Oreochromis niloticus: one gene and its partner. The protein of the gene in region 1 interacts with the protein of each later gene in a pairwise test. Links are inferred from orthologs where the notes say so. Each region holds a gene or a part of one and is shown on either strand. Other genes may lie near its edges.

Region 1 (8,508 bases):
TATTTCCAGAAGTGCTTCTCTAACATCTGTACTTTGGGTAGAGTTTCGTAGTGTCATAAATATATAAAATATTTTAGTTCTTACAGCGCACCATATAAATGGTGGATCATAAAGCTTTCTTTAAAGGCCTAATCCGGAGTTGGAGTATATCTATACTTGTTGCTTTGCTATGTCCGTGTTATTGGATTTCAAGATGCCTGTCTTTGTCCAGTAGCTCTAAAATGACTAGTTTACCTATGTATTATTTGTCTACTTTGGGTAAATCTGGGTAATCTTCTGGGTGTAGTTTCACAAATTGTCATTCAGAAAGTTGTTCCTCTTAAGTCATTTGCTTTGTGTGTGAGAGTGTGTGTGTCAGGCGCGCGCGTGTGTGTGTAAAAAGAAACTCAAAAACCCGGATTGTGTCTTAAGCATACTTGAAATATCAGTTTTATAAATGACTTTTAAATAAATTAACAGCCTGCTGAGAATTTACAATTCAGTTGCCCAAATCCATGTGTAAATGGTGATGGGAAAAGGAATTGTCAGGTTTTTTTTTTTTTTGTTACTACCTCCTTAGGGAATACATCGGCACTGCAAAAATGACTGCAATTGATAACAATGTAAAAAACTGTTTTGATTAGCTTAAACCAAACTAGCAAAGCAATGTAAAATCATTCTGTATTGCATTTTAACAAAAACCTGCGACATCTTTGAATGTATTGTGGTACTAATGGTCAGTCAGTCAGTCAGTGTCTATTGTCAACTGAATGAGGTATTTAAGCACTTTGAATGACATTTTCCCCTTAAAAGGTTTGATAATGCAGGCTTAGTTTTATGATATAGTTTATCTCTTTTAAAACTTTTGCCATAGAACATCATGTCAAACCATATATATGGAAGTATATATATTTTGTATGATATAAAACTATTTTGTGGACACATTTTTTTTTTCCCAAAGATATATTTGTTGTATTGCTTACTTCCTGGTGTACACTCAGATTTTATTTAATAGGATTTTAGAATCTTCTTTTCATATTCAACTGTGAATATCACTCATCTAGGTGTAAGCCACAAATAAAAGAACCAAAGTCTTTGTATTTTGTAAAATTCAGTATTTTATAACAAATAAAGATTCACTATTATCCATGCATAATTTTGTTTATTGCACCTTAAAACGGAATTTTATGTTTGTTATCATTATATTATCAGGTTGTTCTCAAACATTGTTTGGTTTTGTTTCCCCTGATTTAGAAATGTTCCTCTAGACTCTGTGCCTGTTTCATTTCATGACTGAAGTTTAGGTGTTGCTGGAGGCCTGTTCCCGAAAGCAAGTTAATGAAAATGGAGTTTATTAACCCTTACCTGAGGGAAACGCTTAACGAACTTAAACTATGGGTTAGTTACTTGGGTAACAGTATCTCGGGTGTAGTAATTTGCCTTAAAACAGGTGCTTTTATGTCATCAGTGTTAGAGACTGCAGTCACTGGATGTTGTAAATTTAATATCTCTATTGGTTGTGACTAAGAGCTCGTGCACAATCAACATTTCTGCTGACAGCATTGAAGTCACCTCTAAAAAGTGTCAGATTTGAAACTTGACATCTGTAAATCACCTAACGTATTACTGGACCAGGCTATGACTTTAAAATCCATAAGTAAACAGTCTTGTTTTTTAAGATATATTTTAGTGCCCATGAGGCTACAGCTGAAGAAATGGTCTGTCTTTAAAAAATATAATAAAAATAACTTACTACAGGATTCCAGAAATATCCTAACTTTGTCTATCAAGAAGCATTCAAGTGAAATAAATTATGACTAACTGGATCAAACCAATAGTAACAGTTACTATTGTTACCTTACCTAATGACCATTTATGCCTTTATTTTATTTTTGTTTTGTTTTTTACAGATTAATGCTATGGTACACAGACACAAAATCATAGCTCTAGTTTCCCTTGATTAACAGGCTTTGGTCTTTGCTTGCCATTAAGGGAGGTTCATGGTGGTTTTTTTGTCATTAAAGGCATAGTGTTTCTACTATATTGACGTTTATTGAAGCATTGCCATCTACAACAGTTGGGTTGTATGTTCCTGCAGTCTCACTATAGATTTACATCTACATTCTTAATTAAAACATTGATGAAGAGAGAGTTTTAAAATCCATCATCTGATTCTTCATCCCAGCTGCACTTTTCTAAGGTGGTCTTAGTGAAATCAACTTCCAAGTTGTAAACAAAGTCAGGATCATCTTTGTGCCTCCGGTTTTTCTCAAACAGTTCGTCCATTTGGCCTTTCTTGCGTGCCAGCTCCTCATCGTCCAGTTTGTTCAGGTCTTCGTCAGGGTCCAGACAGAACGAGGAGAGGCTGTGCTCCAGACTGAAGCCCTGCATGTGATCGCGTAGGATAATGTGAAGCTTCTCAAGCTGGCTCTGAGAGACACCCTCCAGGTAGTCCCTGTGTCGAGGGTTGTTCTTCAGCCTTTCAGCAGCCATGCTGTAGTCTGGAAGAGACGGCATGAGGTAATAGGATGGTTGTAGTCCTGCCCAGCTACTTCGTGGCAATCTACAAGAACAAAATAAGCTACATACATATGTTAATGCAGTGTGCATTCACGACTCCAGCTCTGATCACAGTACCTATGTCTCAAAAAATGGACTAACAAAAACAGGAAGGAAAAAACGCAGAACGATAAATGTATGTTTCCATGTATTACATATTAGTTATTTATTATTAACACTCACTAGCAATGACCTTAGTTAAACAAAGTAAGATGCTCCTATTTTAGTCAGAAATAGGAGCCTGAGGCTCAGCAGCTTGCAGGTAATCCACCTGCTGCTATCCACGAGATATAGAAATCAAAACTTCAGGGCCTCATGACTCTGACAGATTTGTTAGATTTACTAGAGTATTATATAATTATTAATATACAGCAAACGAGGCTAAAATAATATTCTCACACTGATTGTAGCTACCTTGTAACATGTGACATGGAGCACAGAGAACGAGTCCCAATGTGTCCGTGGTGCCTTACCGGAGTATTTGGAGAAATTTCGCACAGGTATTATTCTTTTTCGCACCTTTTTGGTTTCCGTGTGCTCATAAATTAAAACTATGGATGGAGGGCTGAACTGCACCCCGCAGCGCTTTGCCGCAAAACGCATCCTGTACTTCTATTACAACAAACAAACTTAACCCAATCCGACCATCAATTTAAACATGTTTAAAACAGAAACATCGCAGCCATAATTATTGCTACTAGCGCACAGTATGAATAAAAAAAAATCGAGCAGCGGCTTCAGGGATGATTACGCGTTGCCAGGTTGCCAGCAGAGCCTTTACGTAAAGACGCTTCTGTTTGTTGGGATGCCTGACGCTAAATTTCGGATTTAAAAAATTAATATAAAATCATTTAACTTTCACGTATCATTATTATTCATTTTATTCCTGAAAACTGCTTTCTATGTCTATAAATGTTACTAAATGTTTCCTTAAAAGCTTGTGTTTTTCAATCTCTACACAGGCACATTTGCAGGCTCCCTGAAACTACAAAAGGGGCCTTCAAAAAATCATCTTCCGTAAACACTTCAAAGAAGCGCTTAAGCGGTGGTAGCTGTGCTTGAGTTAAATAAACAGCCTATAAACGCGTCTCAGCGTTGGCCATTATATTTTTAATGTATTTTAAACTGTTCTGTGTTGTTTCTGCGTTGAGCTTATTCTCGAAATGTCACTGTTTGGGTGAAAAGGGTACGTGAGCTAGGTTCTATGTGAAAACTCGATAGTCATTCAATAAGCTCTCATTATTATTGATTGAAGGTCATTTAAATTAAGTTGTTGGGGGTTTTTTTTGGTTTTTTTGTTTGAGGGAAGGAATAGTATTTTTACAGTAGACAAAAAAGTGCTGTAAATATACCCCTGTATGGATAACATGACATATATAATCTAGCATAGTTTGAAAAACAAATGCATCTTTAATCCCATCCTGCGATTTTCCAAAAATATAGATACATGTTCAAATTCAAAAAGCTTTTACCTGGAGATACTGATCAGTGTAACCTGCTAATTTGTGCAGATGAGATTCAGAATCACTGTGATCTTCTGAGGCAGTGGCTTGCGCCCTCATCAGTGACAGTGGAGCTCAACAAAAAGGGTTTCCACAGGTATTCGGTTGTTTGTTTTCTCAAAAGAAAGCTGTTCTGCCTTTGGGGCTACTTGTCAGGAGAATCAATGATATTTTCTAATATGTTTTAGGGAGGTGACAACTACAGTTGAGTTCAGATCCAAAGAGCTCTGTGGTGTCAAAGTTTTGCTGATTCATAGATGGCCCAGAGATGTCTATGTTGATCCATATCAACTTGCATCCCTTAGCGATCAAAACAAGTGGAAGGTAAGACACCGAGCAACTAGATGTAGTATAACGCAGTGTAAAATTCTACTACAAACCACAGTCATGTACAAAACATGTGCACAGTGTATATGTTTTATTTAATTATTTCTGTGTTAAACTTTGTAAGATATTACTAGATTCACCCATTGACCTTGAGGTTCCTGCTCACGAAGCTTCAGGATTTGTCACCTATGTGTATCCTTTCTCCACTGGACCAACTTCCAAGTTATTCAAAGTAACAATTCCAATACATGGTCGCTACCACAAGCCCTCATTTGATGGAAAAATGTTTAAATCTGTTGACATAGAAGCTCCAGAGCTGCTGCTGCGGACAGAAAAATGTAAGTGGATTCATTTTATTTTATAGCAATTTCTGACACTATGTAAATCTATACAGAAAGAAAACAATGTAAACCAAATGTGGTATTTAAAATGCAATGTTGTGTCATGATGTGTAATGAAACAAATTAACGAAATACATTAAATCAACCTTACTGTTTGCAATATAATTTTACGTGACTGCATAATTAAACTAAATGATGTCGGAGCGTAAAATCCTAAATTTGTATCTGTTTTCTATGAAAGTGGAGTGTCAATGAATATTACCAAATTATTTCAGTTTTGTGGTTGTGGATAGGTTGCATACATATAATAACTTTAATGATCAAAACTTTATAGTATAAAAACAAAAATGTGACTTAAAAAATGTGACTTTTCAGTTTGGCTTTCTGAAACACTTTCTTCTAAAACTATTTCTCTTATCCAGGTGCACAGCTTAGCAGCTTAGAGCCTCACACAGTTGTGGATGCACCATGCACTGCCAGCAATTCAAGCACTTGTTCTTGGGTTAAAGTCAAGCCTCAGCAGGTGATTGTGTACAATATTTCACCAAATCTTGAGTGAAAAGGTGATTTAAAAAAACAAAACTCAATCATTCAATTGTTTCCCTTTTTGCCTTATAGGATCTCAATCCAGTGAGTTTCCAGCTCCCAGTGGGTGATGGGTCTTTGGTGGCACACGTATGCGGAGGGACTCTTCTTGTCACAATGATCTGCTGTGTGGCACTGTCCAAATACATGTGGAAACATCAAATAATTTAAAGAGCAAAAATTGTACTGGCATTATGTTGTTGTTGTTTTTTTTTATCAAACTAACAAGGAAGAGGCACTTTCAGTGTTGTTATCTTATCTGCAGAAATGTTGCAAGCAGAGAACAGGACTAATTGAGATGGGAAAGAATACTGAGATATTGCTGAAACAACAGATAAATGCTGAAAGATATCAGAATTTATCTTTTTCCATTCCAGCCAATGTAACTATGTTTATTTTGGTGAATCCCGCAACCTGTGCAAGCATTTTTCCTGCTATGACCTCATTTTGGGAGGATCATGATTCTTTATCTGTTCAGTTTAGCGCACCTAATTAAGGAACATAAAAATCTATTAGTTTGTACTGTTTTGGGGTATTTGGTAGTGATTTTCATTTATTTTTGTCTATAACATGGGCTATTATAATAACACGATTATAAAACTGGAGTCTACAGTAGTATAATCTGTATTTTAACACTGAATAAAATGTATACAGTTCAGACTGCTATAAATACAATATAACAACAATGTTAATAGTATTCTTTTCTTGTGGCAGTTTAAAGAATGCCATGATGAGGTAAAGGTCATATCCATTTGAGACAGAGTACCGGGTGTCATACTGTGCCAATGTTTGGACGTTTGATTTATGAGTGACAAACTGTGCTGCCATGCATGCTGTCAGGACAAAACAAGTTTTTTATTCTTCCAGCTTATCTGTCTTGTCTTATTGCATCTGTTATCCAGTTTTGGTCTCCTAAAAGGCTCCATTTGTAGTTGTATGTTCTTGACCCTGTTGGGTAGTGCATGTGGCACTACACAACCTATTTCAACATGGAAACGCCTTCACACAATGCAGTCAATGAAGAGCCAGTCAAATTTTTTTCTTGTTTTGCAGAGAAAATGCTTAGGGCAATTTAGAAATTGTATAATCACATAGTTTGTTAAAAAGATTTAAGTCTGCAGCATATTATGGATCACCAGTGAGCAAAGAGAGGTGCATAGTCACATAGTGTCAACAGTAGAAGTGTTTTTGAAATCATCCTCTGTAAAATGTAACTAGAACTTTCTCCAAAAGTTGAATCTGTTCATCTGGACGTAGCGTTTTGTGGGAGAAACGTTTCGTCACTCATCCAAGTGACTTCTTCAGTCTCAGCTGACTGCAGGTTTCCCCAAACCTTATAAACAGGACATTTGCATAATGACTGAAACCAGCCCACAGAAGGAACAATGGGCTGTGACGTTTTAACTAGAACTTTCACCACCGGGGGCAGTACCAGCTCCTGTAGTAAGAAAATGTACCTGAGATCCCCCAGTAAAGATCTGGATATACTCTCTACCTGAGATGATCACATACAGTGACACAACTGTCTTTTGTCTAAATTACATATCAATAAGAGCACACCCACTGCAAATAGCATTAGATATCTTGCTTGATCGCTATTTTTGACTGGGAAAATTAGCACCAAGAGCTTTTATCATACCAGTAATATACTCAGCATGCTCATTAACTCCTGTATTTTCAATGAGCTGTCTCCAGCAGTGGAAAGCTGCACTTATGTTTACTCTTCTTTTACTTGATTTCCCTTTGGGAGGTGATGCTGCTGCTGCTGATAACGGTTACTTTCCAGGTGCTTCCTCTGCTTCTCCATATTTCCTCTTCCTCTCATGTTGACTTTCTACACCATCTTGTGGAACAAACTGTTAATACAGAAAAGTACAATCTAGCCCTATTTTAACTTCAGTTGATAACTATATGCACAAAATATAGAAATTTTTTGTTATAAAGTCAATTGTATCTGTTGGAGTTGGTGGTGATGAGTGTCAGGGGTGATTTGTGACTGAAGGATAGCAGCAGAGTGAAAGTGAAGGTTTACATGATGGTAGAGAGACCTGAGATGAGATGGCACTGATAAAGACTCAGGAGGCCAACCTGGCGGTGGCGGAGTTGAACATGTTTAGATTTTCATTAGAAAGAACCAGGAAGTGCACAATCACAAAATTGAGGAAGATGTTGGGATAAGGTGAGATGGAGGCAGATGACCCACTGTGGCAACCCCTAAAGGAAGCTAAAGAACCTTTATAAGTTCTTACTAGTTTATGAACTATACTGCAGGAAAACTAATAAGTAGTTAACCTATTATCTTCCCTTTTTTTAATATAACTAACATATTATATGTCTATATTGCTTTTCCTCCCTCAAAATAGGCATTTTTTGTTGTTGCTATAAAAATTTTGCCCTCATTTGGAATGAGTCTTTGTGACTTAACATAAGTCTATACATTTTTCTGTTGTTTCTCACAGCGTGATGAACAACGATGTGTGTATAGAAAGTACACTGGCTAGTATGTTATTGGCTTTTTTTCTTCTTCTTTCATTTACGCTGTAAAAATCTGAGTATAAAATTAAGCTTTCAAAATTAGGCCATTTAAAATTTCCTAGGGCAGGAAAATAAACAAACGTTACATTAATGTCAGATTAGTGAGAGAAACCTCCCACATTATAGTTATAATTAACAAAATAATTGCTCTGCAGCTGGAAAATTACGTCTGTAAATGCTGAACTACATTACCTAAAACCTAATGAAACTTCCACTTTAATAAGTTTCAGCATGTTTCACATTTTTATTATTCTTAATGCTTAAAAACGTGTTATTGCACATTATGATCCGTGTGGTTTTGCACACGGGCTCTGATTTTTCTTTTCTTTTTTTTCTTTGCTTAAGATAGCTGACTGTCTTCACCCACCATTCATTTGAAACATTTTATTGAATAGGCCAGGGCTGGGTCGGTAGTTCCGCTTCCCCTTCGCCATAGCGGAATTATCCAAGGGCCGAAAAGATAGAAGAAAAGTTGCACTGTAAATAGTTGGAGTAACCATTGTACTAAGTTATTTATACACCGGCTGTACCACCGGGGAGCACTTGTTACGGTGGAATAACTTTTAAAGGATATACAGACGTTTTGCACACCGTCGAGGATCGTTCGGGACTGAAGTTCTAATCAAGTTTAACTGGTGTGGATTCTCCGGTAAGCTTCTCTGCTCCTGCGTCGCCTTCTT
Region 2 (8,140 bases), on another chromosome or scaffold:
ATTTCCAGGCACAGGCCGCGATCATCACACCTCTGATTTATCGATACACTGGAATATGTATTATTATCGATTAGCAATATTATCGATTACTGATACCTGCTCTGCACAGCTCTCACAGCTTAAACACTCAATCAGAAAATACAGCTGCAGTTTCTTCACAGCTTTATGACACCTGAATGCAGCATGAGGAGGAAGAGGTGGAGGAGGAGCTTCTGGTACTCACAGAGTTGATCTCTGGCTGGAAGACGGCGAGGCTGAAGTCCAGGTTAAAGACCTGCAGGAAGTCCATGATCAGACTCGCCACCAGACGACCTAGAGGGGCATGACATCATCACTATCACCATCATCAGGATGCATCAGAGGGAAAACTTCTCCCTCAGCAGCTGAGATCATCTGATGCTGCGTTCTACCAATCCTTATCACTCATCAATCATTTCACGTATTGATTGATTACCTAGCGTGTCACTAGTCATGATCTGTAAGACAGATCAAACACTGAAATCTGATTGATGTGACTTTGCTCCCATGACCCTGAAACTAATTTTAATGAAGCTTTTTTCTTCTCATTGTTTAACATCATTTAGTCCCTGAAGGCCACACGAAGCATCGGCGTCTCATCGCTGACCGGACGTGCTCGCTTTATTCATTCAATTTAATCCCAAAGGTGAAAAACATCCTCCTGGACACGTCCAAACTCTTCACACGCCTCTGAAGCAGCGAACAAAGGTTTTCACTTTTAAACCCACAGACTCGCTCAGCTTCAGTCAGTGGCTGAAGGCAAACAGGTGTTTGTACCTGCAGGCGGGAGAATGTGATCTTTATAAGCACAGACACCTCACACAAGAACAAACAGCTGATGTTATTAAGATTCATTTCTTCTTCATCGGCACATTAAAGGGTTTCAGGCAGAGTTCGTGTCCACTGCACACAAGATTAGAGTGCTGTGATGTCACCAGGAAACCAAAAAAAAACGTGGCGCAGGTTTTTGGTCAGACGAACACGTCCTGACCTCCAACTCTCTGCTCAGCTTTCACACCACTGAGTGTGTGAGCGTGTCACTACTCATGCCACAGACCAACCAGGACTCAGCTGCAGGCCTCCAGTTCGATCCCAGTGGTTTAAACGAGTGTGTGTGCGTGCATGTGTGTGGCGTCCTGCTGCTGTGTGTTTGTGAAGTTTGTGTGACACCCTCGAGGGCCAAAGAGATCAACGCTCTGATCTTCATCATCATCGTTGTCATCACTGCTGAATAGAGGACAGAAAATCACATACCAACAGGAAGTCACATAATGTACCCAGAGTCTCAGCGTGTGAGTCGGAGTGAGCTCTGATTAGTGGATTCCTGCTGATGGAGCACAGCTTATAAAAATACCGACACCATGTAAACGTCACAATGAACACCTGAAATCCAGGTGAACTCCTGCTCGTCAACTCTGCTCCCTGCAGTGGTCTGAGAGGAGACGAGCTGACAGCTGAAGCCACAGCGCCCCCCTGTGGGGCACACAGGAGCTGCAACGCCTGCTGACCGAGGTTACTGCAGGCTTAACCCTTGCTGTCACAGCTCCTACTCATTGCCATGGTAACACATACTGCAGGCTGGCCTGCTTCAGAACAGGTTATGTTTGTAATCGCACACCAGCTGACCAATCAGATGTCTGGAAGCTGATCGATGACATCAGGATAAGAAGGAAACGTATCGTGAACCTGCGGATGCTGCGCCGCGGTGCTTGCGGGTGCTCCCATCAGTGAGGGATTCTTTAGAGCATGTTTGAAATTATTTAAACCTTTCTGAACTCTCTCACTGATGAGTCTTTCTGTTGGACTGAATTTAGTAAAACTGTAAACTAACAGCCACGAAGCAAGCATGAAGCAGTATGACCTTCATCGCTGTTAACCTGCTCACAGCTGCAGGCAGGAAGAGGAAGTTGAGGAACTCACCGTCTTTGGTGTTGAGACATTTCGTCAGGTTCTCGTTGACCAGCGGACTTTTATTCTGAGGAGAAACATCAGCAAGAGCTCAGATCAGGTCAAAGCGGTCAGTCACACCATCATTGACTCCTCCCAGCTTCCTGACTCCTCCCACCACAATTGTTCACTTTTCCAGAGTGAACGATTGATTTTAATCTACACACACCATGAACCTGCTGTCACACGTGTTCCTGAATTTGAATACTTTATTAATGATGTGGTCACAGTCGATCCGAGACACTAAAAACAGGAACTGATTAAACTAAAGTTAAAATATAGCAAAATAGCTCTTATTATAAATAATTCAGTATGCTACACAAATTAAATAGATATGGTTAACACTGCCCTTTTTATGTGCAGATATTTCAGTGTGTGCTGTGCATTAGATGGAGGGGTTGTTCAGTGCTGCATTACGTGTAATCTCATGCTCTTGTTGTGACTGGCCACCATTCACAGAGTGAGTGGGAGGTATTGTCCAGCATTGTCCTTATCTTGGACAATGACGGACAGCACTGACTGATCAACACTGTGTGAATCACTCACCTCCAGTTTGTCCTGCTCCTCCATTGCCAGGAACACCGCCGCTCTCATCTCCGCCTGCAGGAACATGTCATCGATACAGGCAGTTATTGAAACCAATCAGTAAATACATACATGTCATTCATGACAGACATTTCAAACTAAAAGAGTTTCCTAAATATTATTTCATTTCCATCCATCAGTTTTCTTCCACTCATTCTATTCAGGGTCGTGGGGGATGGAGCCTCTCCCCGAGGCGGGACACACCTGGACGGGTCACCAGCGTGTCGCAGGACTAACAGCGTTTCATTCATTTGCTGTATTTCACATTATTTTTATACGAGCACTCGGCCCGAATCTTCCTTGCTCCTGGATCAGATTTTAGGCTAACAGGTCCCACCTGTGCTGAAGTTAGCACGCACGAAACTAGACCTCCACCATCCACACAGCGCTTAGTTTAGATATAAGTCACAAACTGATCAGATATAAATCAGAGTGGTTTCAGGTTTGGAGGCGAGTCTTTCTCAGCTCCATTCACCTGACGCTGTCGAGTCACATGACAAAAACAGGGAGTGAAAGGAAATAAAAAAGGAAAACCATTTTTATTTGTTCTGTGAGGTTTCTTCTTCTTGGCTGTGAGCTTTGAGGTTCTACTCTGAGCCGCAGTTACACGCTATTAGTAATAAAATGTCTCCTCTACTCTCGCGGATGTTTAAACTGTACTTCCATTTTCGAAAGGTCAGATCCTGCTTCATCGACACCAGCAGCAACAGAGCTCACACAGCTGCTGAGCCTCTACACTCAATAAGAACTTCATCTCTCCTCTCAGGTTAAATAAAATAAACCTAAAACAGTCTCTGAGTAGCCGGTTAGTAGCCGTTAGCTGCCTGTTAGCTGCGGGTAGCTGTAGCCTATCCCGCCGTCAGGGCGCCTCACGTTAAACGTGACCTTTCACCTTCAGCTTGTTCAGAGCTCCGCTGTTCTCAAGGTTCTGGATCAGCAGGTCCCGCAGCTCCGTGTCGTCCTCGGCTGCTGACATGTTTCTGTCTGAATCTAAAGATGCTAATGTAGCTAACCGCTGCTGCCAGGACAACACACCAAAACAATCTGACGCAACTTCCGCCCTTTCTTCTTCTGTTGCTCTTTAGCCGATCTGAATGCCATCTGCTGGCTTGCAGGCTGAGTTGGAGCTGGATAATTTACCTGTTTAACAAACTGCGTTAACGCCTTAGTTTACTTCACGGTCCGTGAGATGGATTCAGAGTCACGTTTTTCATTTTATTTCCACTTTTATTTTATTTTATTTTTACATTTGAGCGTTTGTGTGATTTCTAACTTTCTGAGCTAGTTTGTGACCTTGTATTTATTGTATCTCCAGACCGAGTCTGTCTTCACATCAGATCCATAACTGTGCAGTCGTTCCACCTCTGCTACAAAAAGCTTCACAGGGGCCGAAAAATAAAATAGAAGACTCATAACATCCCCAGTGAGTAAAAATACTGCACTGTACTGCACGGAATACTGCATACAAAAATGTTACCAGAGATTACCAAAATGCCTGTGGCCATCTCCCTGTACAACTCGTCCATCTAATACACACTAAACACTACAATAGTTACATCCTTTTTGCACACACTCTTTCTTACTCTGTAATGTTTCTGTCAATTTCTTGATATTTATTTATAATCACATCTGTCAACCCTGAATATTTATTATTTGTATATATTGTATATATTGGGCTATTCTTCATATCTTAACATATTGTATTGATAAATGGTCTAGTTTGTTTTTGTCAATGCTACTGTACTGGCGCAACTTGTGGGACAATTAAAGGATTATTCTATAACTGTAACCCACATAATTTCCCTAGGGATTAATAAAGTATTCTGATTCTGATAAAATCAGGAATGGCTGTCACATACAGTAAAACACCGTCAGTGCCTCAGTTTTGAGTGCGACCGACAGACTTAAAAAAATGAATTAATTTATTAGTTAATGATTTAGTGTTTTGTCAGTTTTGTCCTTCCATACTCACACGATGAAACAAAGACTTTGCCTTCAGATGAGGTGAGCTGTTTGTGTGTGTGTTCTTCAGCCAGATGCCAAAAGATGTTTCTGAGACTGAGCTGAAGAGAAAGCAGGAGGAGGAGGAGGCAGACGGAGGGGAAGAGGAGGAGGAGCAGGAAGCAGAGAAGCACGCGCAGACGCACGGGCACGGACCGCCGGTGGATCACGGAGCATCCGCCGTCTCTGCGCAGCTGCATGTATCAGAAGCAGCACGGCCGGCCTAACATCGGAGCTATGGCCGACGACGGAGCTCCATCCACGGCCTGCACAGGCTCCAGCCTTCTGCAGCCGCTCAGTGAGCTCACCGACCTGCCGCTGGACCAGGTAAGAGCCGCCGGAGCCCGGACCTCCACCCCGGACCCCGGCGGCCGCCGCTCCGGAGGTCGGAGACGGGGGGACAAAGAGAGACGAGGACGGGGAAGGGAGGGGTCTTTGTCCGTAAAAATAAAGGGTGGAGGCCTCGTGCAGACTCCAGCAGCTGTGATGGAGGAGAGGCTTCATGCTGCCCATTCACGTGAGGAGGAGGAGGGAGGGGATGTACGAGTGCGGCTGTGCGGACGGTTTCTATTGTGATGATGGTGAAGGGGGAAGTCATGTCGGTGGTGGTGGTGGTGGTGGTGGAGGGGGGCTGTCACCCGTGATGCTCCTGAGGCTCCACATTTCTGTGGGCGGAGGTCTCGGCTGCTCCGGGGTCAGGTGTGGAGCTTCTCTGACGCAGGTGTTGCTCAGGTGATAACCAGGCACAGCCATGACCGCCACGTCAGCTCCTGATTGGTCATTCCTCAGTCCAGAACTCAGAGGGGAGCAGCTGCTCACTCAGCAGATGTAGATCACAGTGTGGTTGTATGGACCTTCATTAGGTGATCCTGGTGAGCTGCACGCTCCTCCCCTCTGACTGGCTGACAGCCAGGCCTCTGGAGCCGGATCAGGTGACCAGCTGCCTCTGTTTACTGGTTTTACGGGGAAGTACTGGTGACACCAGTATCTCCTGTGGGCTGATGTCATCGTCTGCAGAGAGAAATCCAGTTTGTGGGCGCTGCCAGAGGTGCTCCGAGAAGGAGGCCGGGAGGTGCGACCCTCACCGAGGTCACTCCATCTCAAACAGCACTCTGATGTTATTCTGGTAGTATTCTGGTAGTAATCTGGTATTATTTTGGTAGTATTCTGGTAGTACTCTGATGTTATTCTGGTAGTAATCTGGTATTATTTTGGTAGTATTCTGGTAGTATTCTGGTAGTACTCTGGTATTACTCTGTAGCAGACAGTGTCTGGACATTAACATGGCTGTTACTGTGTTGATGATGATTAAGATCCTCCTCCTCGCCCTCTTGCAGGAGGAGCTGCTTGGAGAAAAAGGCGGCTATTTTGTGCTTGTATTGGCTCTGAAAGAGTCATGTGACTCCTCTCTGACGCAGCGCAGTCACCTTCTCTAAGTGAAGGTGTTAGAGAAGGTGAGGGGTCAGCCTGAAGGAAGCGGAGCAGTCCAACGGTGGGTGGGTCTGCCCTCTCTCACCTGGACATCCTGAAGCACCAATGACGCGCTGTCTGTTTGCTTCGCCTGCAGGTGAACTTCGTGGCGTGCCAGCTCTGCGCTCTGATCTCTGCCTTCTGGTTTCGTCTCTTCCTTCATCCCAGTAAGACCAGTCCCGTCATCCGGCACGCGGTGGCCACGCTGCTGGGACTCTACTTCGCCATGTTCTGCTTTGGCTGGTAAGACAGACTGTGACTCAGGATCAATAAAACTGAGCTCTCCAAAGTCTGACTTATCCTAAAATTGAACCAATCAGAGTTCTGATAGAGGTTTACTGTCATGCCTGTGTCGCTCATCTCAGCTATAAAGGAAAAATGACACAATAACGACGTGTTAGGAGCAGAAAACATCAGATGTCACTGGATTAAATAAGAAGCCGCTGTTAGAGCAGCTTTGCATGACTCACAGTAATTATAATCCTTCTTTCTTTCTCTCGCTATCTGAAACAATTTATTTTAGCTCCTCCCCCTTTAAGAAAGCTTTCTTCTGATTCGCTCTGTGTCTCAGATGACCCTAAAACAAGCTCTCAATGCTTGTTATGTTTAACGTGAGCGTTTGTCACAGCAGCAGCAGATACGTCACGTGTTCTGGTCAGCTGGTGTCTGTGTTCTCCTTGTTTTACAGGTATGCTCTCCACTTCCTGGTTCAGAGCGGACTCGCCTATGGCATCATGATCCTCACTGGAGTCGAACACATGCACAAGTGAGCGTCACAAACGACACGGATTAAAACGGTACTAACAAGCCATTAACGAGCTCAGGGTTAATGAGGAAACTTTTTATCACCTGTGATGTCAGGAGAGCAGCTCACAGTCGGACCTCAGTTATTTCCAGCTCTGTGAACATTAGGTCATGAATACTGGCACAAAAGGACTTGCACAGATTCGGATGTCGTAAAAGTAACAATGTGGTCCTTCCAGCCAAACAAACATGACTGCAGCAGGTGTTCTGTGCTAAAAAGGATGCAAACTTCAGACTGGTGAAGTTCTTAAACCCGTGGAGCTTCACATGAGCTACAGTCAGGAACCTGAGTGAGCCAGATCATCACAGAGGTCCTCAGACCTCAGTGAGCTCGTCAGGGTCGCCGACCCCACGTTGAATAACGGCCTGCTCTCTGTGTTTTTCCAGGTACTGCCTAGTAGTGGCGCTCACATACCTGAGCCTGTGTCAGATCACTCGAGTGTACGTCTTTGACTACGGCATGTACACCGCCGATTTCACAGGGTAACACCTCCGCTCTGTGGCCCATTCACTCCTAAACGCCTCCCCATGTCCAGGCTCTAACCTCTGCCTCTGCTCTCTCTGCAGCCCCATGATGGTCATCACTCAGAAGATCACCAGCCTGGCATTTGAGATCCATGACGGTGAGCTGCACTCTCAGACGGGCTGTTTTCAGTAAATCCTGCAGGTTTTACTGTCCACTCTGTGTTTCTGACAGGAATGGCTCGGAAGGAGGAACATCTGACGGCGGGACAGAAGATTCTGGCAATAAGGTTTGTTCAAGGTAGAAACATTATTTACTGGAGCAGAAATCAACGTGTTTAAGCAGGAGGGTGGAGCTTAAGACAAAATCCATACCTCCATGGTAGACACTTGTCAATCAAAGGTATCTCTGCCCTAAAACTTCTCCCTAAAAGTGATGCAACTTCCAGCTGTACTTCTGTTCATGCAAAACAGGTTTAGTATGAAAAAATAGCTTAATCTAAACTAAAAACAAAAAATACGCAATCAGACTCGAGTGTAGGGGTAGGACCTCGGCTGAGTCACTTTCCCTGGTTGGTTACTGGATCAGTCCTTCAGATCTCATGACATAGCGGAACCATTTGAATGGTCATCTTCCTGCTCTTAGTAGATCTTTGCATGAACAATCCTCATTCTGTAGCCTTCATTTTTCATTGCGTTATCGGCAGTGTTGGAGTTGCAAAATGTTGATTCTGTTCATCTGGATGTTTCGTCACTCATCCAGGTGGCTTCTTCAGTCTCAGCTCACTGCAGGTTTCCTCAACCTTAGGAACAGTACATTTGCACAATAACTGAAATTAGCCCTCTAAATGAA

What was found.
Region 2: the proteins of cep19 (region 1) and cep43 interact in binary tests that used the Homo sapiens proteins (3 or more experiments, as listed by UniProt). The two-hybrid records come from large-scale screens. The link is inferred for Oreochromis niloticus from reciprocal best matches to the Homo sapiens genes CEP19 and CEP43.

What each region holds. Positions count from the first base shown.
Region 1 is NC_031986.2:38,135,429-38,143,936, forward strand, and holds cep19 (centrosomal protein of 19 kDa), read right to left. Parts: upstream 3,316-8,508; 5' UTR 3,142-3,315; coding exon 3,012-3,141; exon of another isoform or gene 2,970-3,011; coding exon of another isoform or gene 2,953-2,969; intron 2,636-2,952; exon of another isoform or gene 2,561-2,635; coding exon of another isoform or gene 2,481-2,560; coding exon 2,134-2,480; 3' UTR 662-2,133; downstream 1-661. Other genes in the region: pigx (phosphatidylinositol-glycan biosynthesis class X protein), read left to right, coding at 3,652-3,724, 4,050-4,137, 4,229-4,364, 4,492-4,705, 5,131-5,231, 5,327-5,464. UniProt on the Homo sapiens protein: Required for ciliation. Recruits the RABL2B GTPase to the ciliary base to initiate ciliation.
Region 2 is NC_031980.2:25,518,199-25,526,338, reverse strand, and holds the start of cep43 (centrosomal protein 43), read right to left. Parts: upstream 3,576-8,140; 5' UTR 3,527-3,575; coding exon 3,443-3,526; intron 2,566-3,442; coding exon 2,512-2,565; intron 1,994-2,511; coding exon 1,939-1,993; intron 313-1,938; coding exon 224-312; intron 1-223. Other genes in the region: mboat2b (lysophospholipid acyltransferase 2b), read left to right, coding at 4,750-4,878, 6,119-6,264, 6,710-6,787, 7,213-7,308, 7,393-7,448, 7,523-7,577. UniProt on the Homo sapiens protein: Required for anchoring microtubules to the centrosomes. Required for ciliation.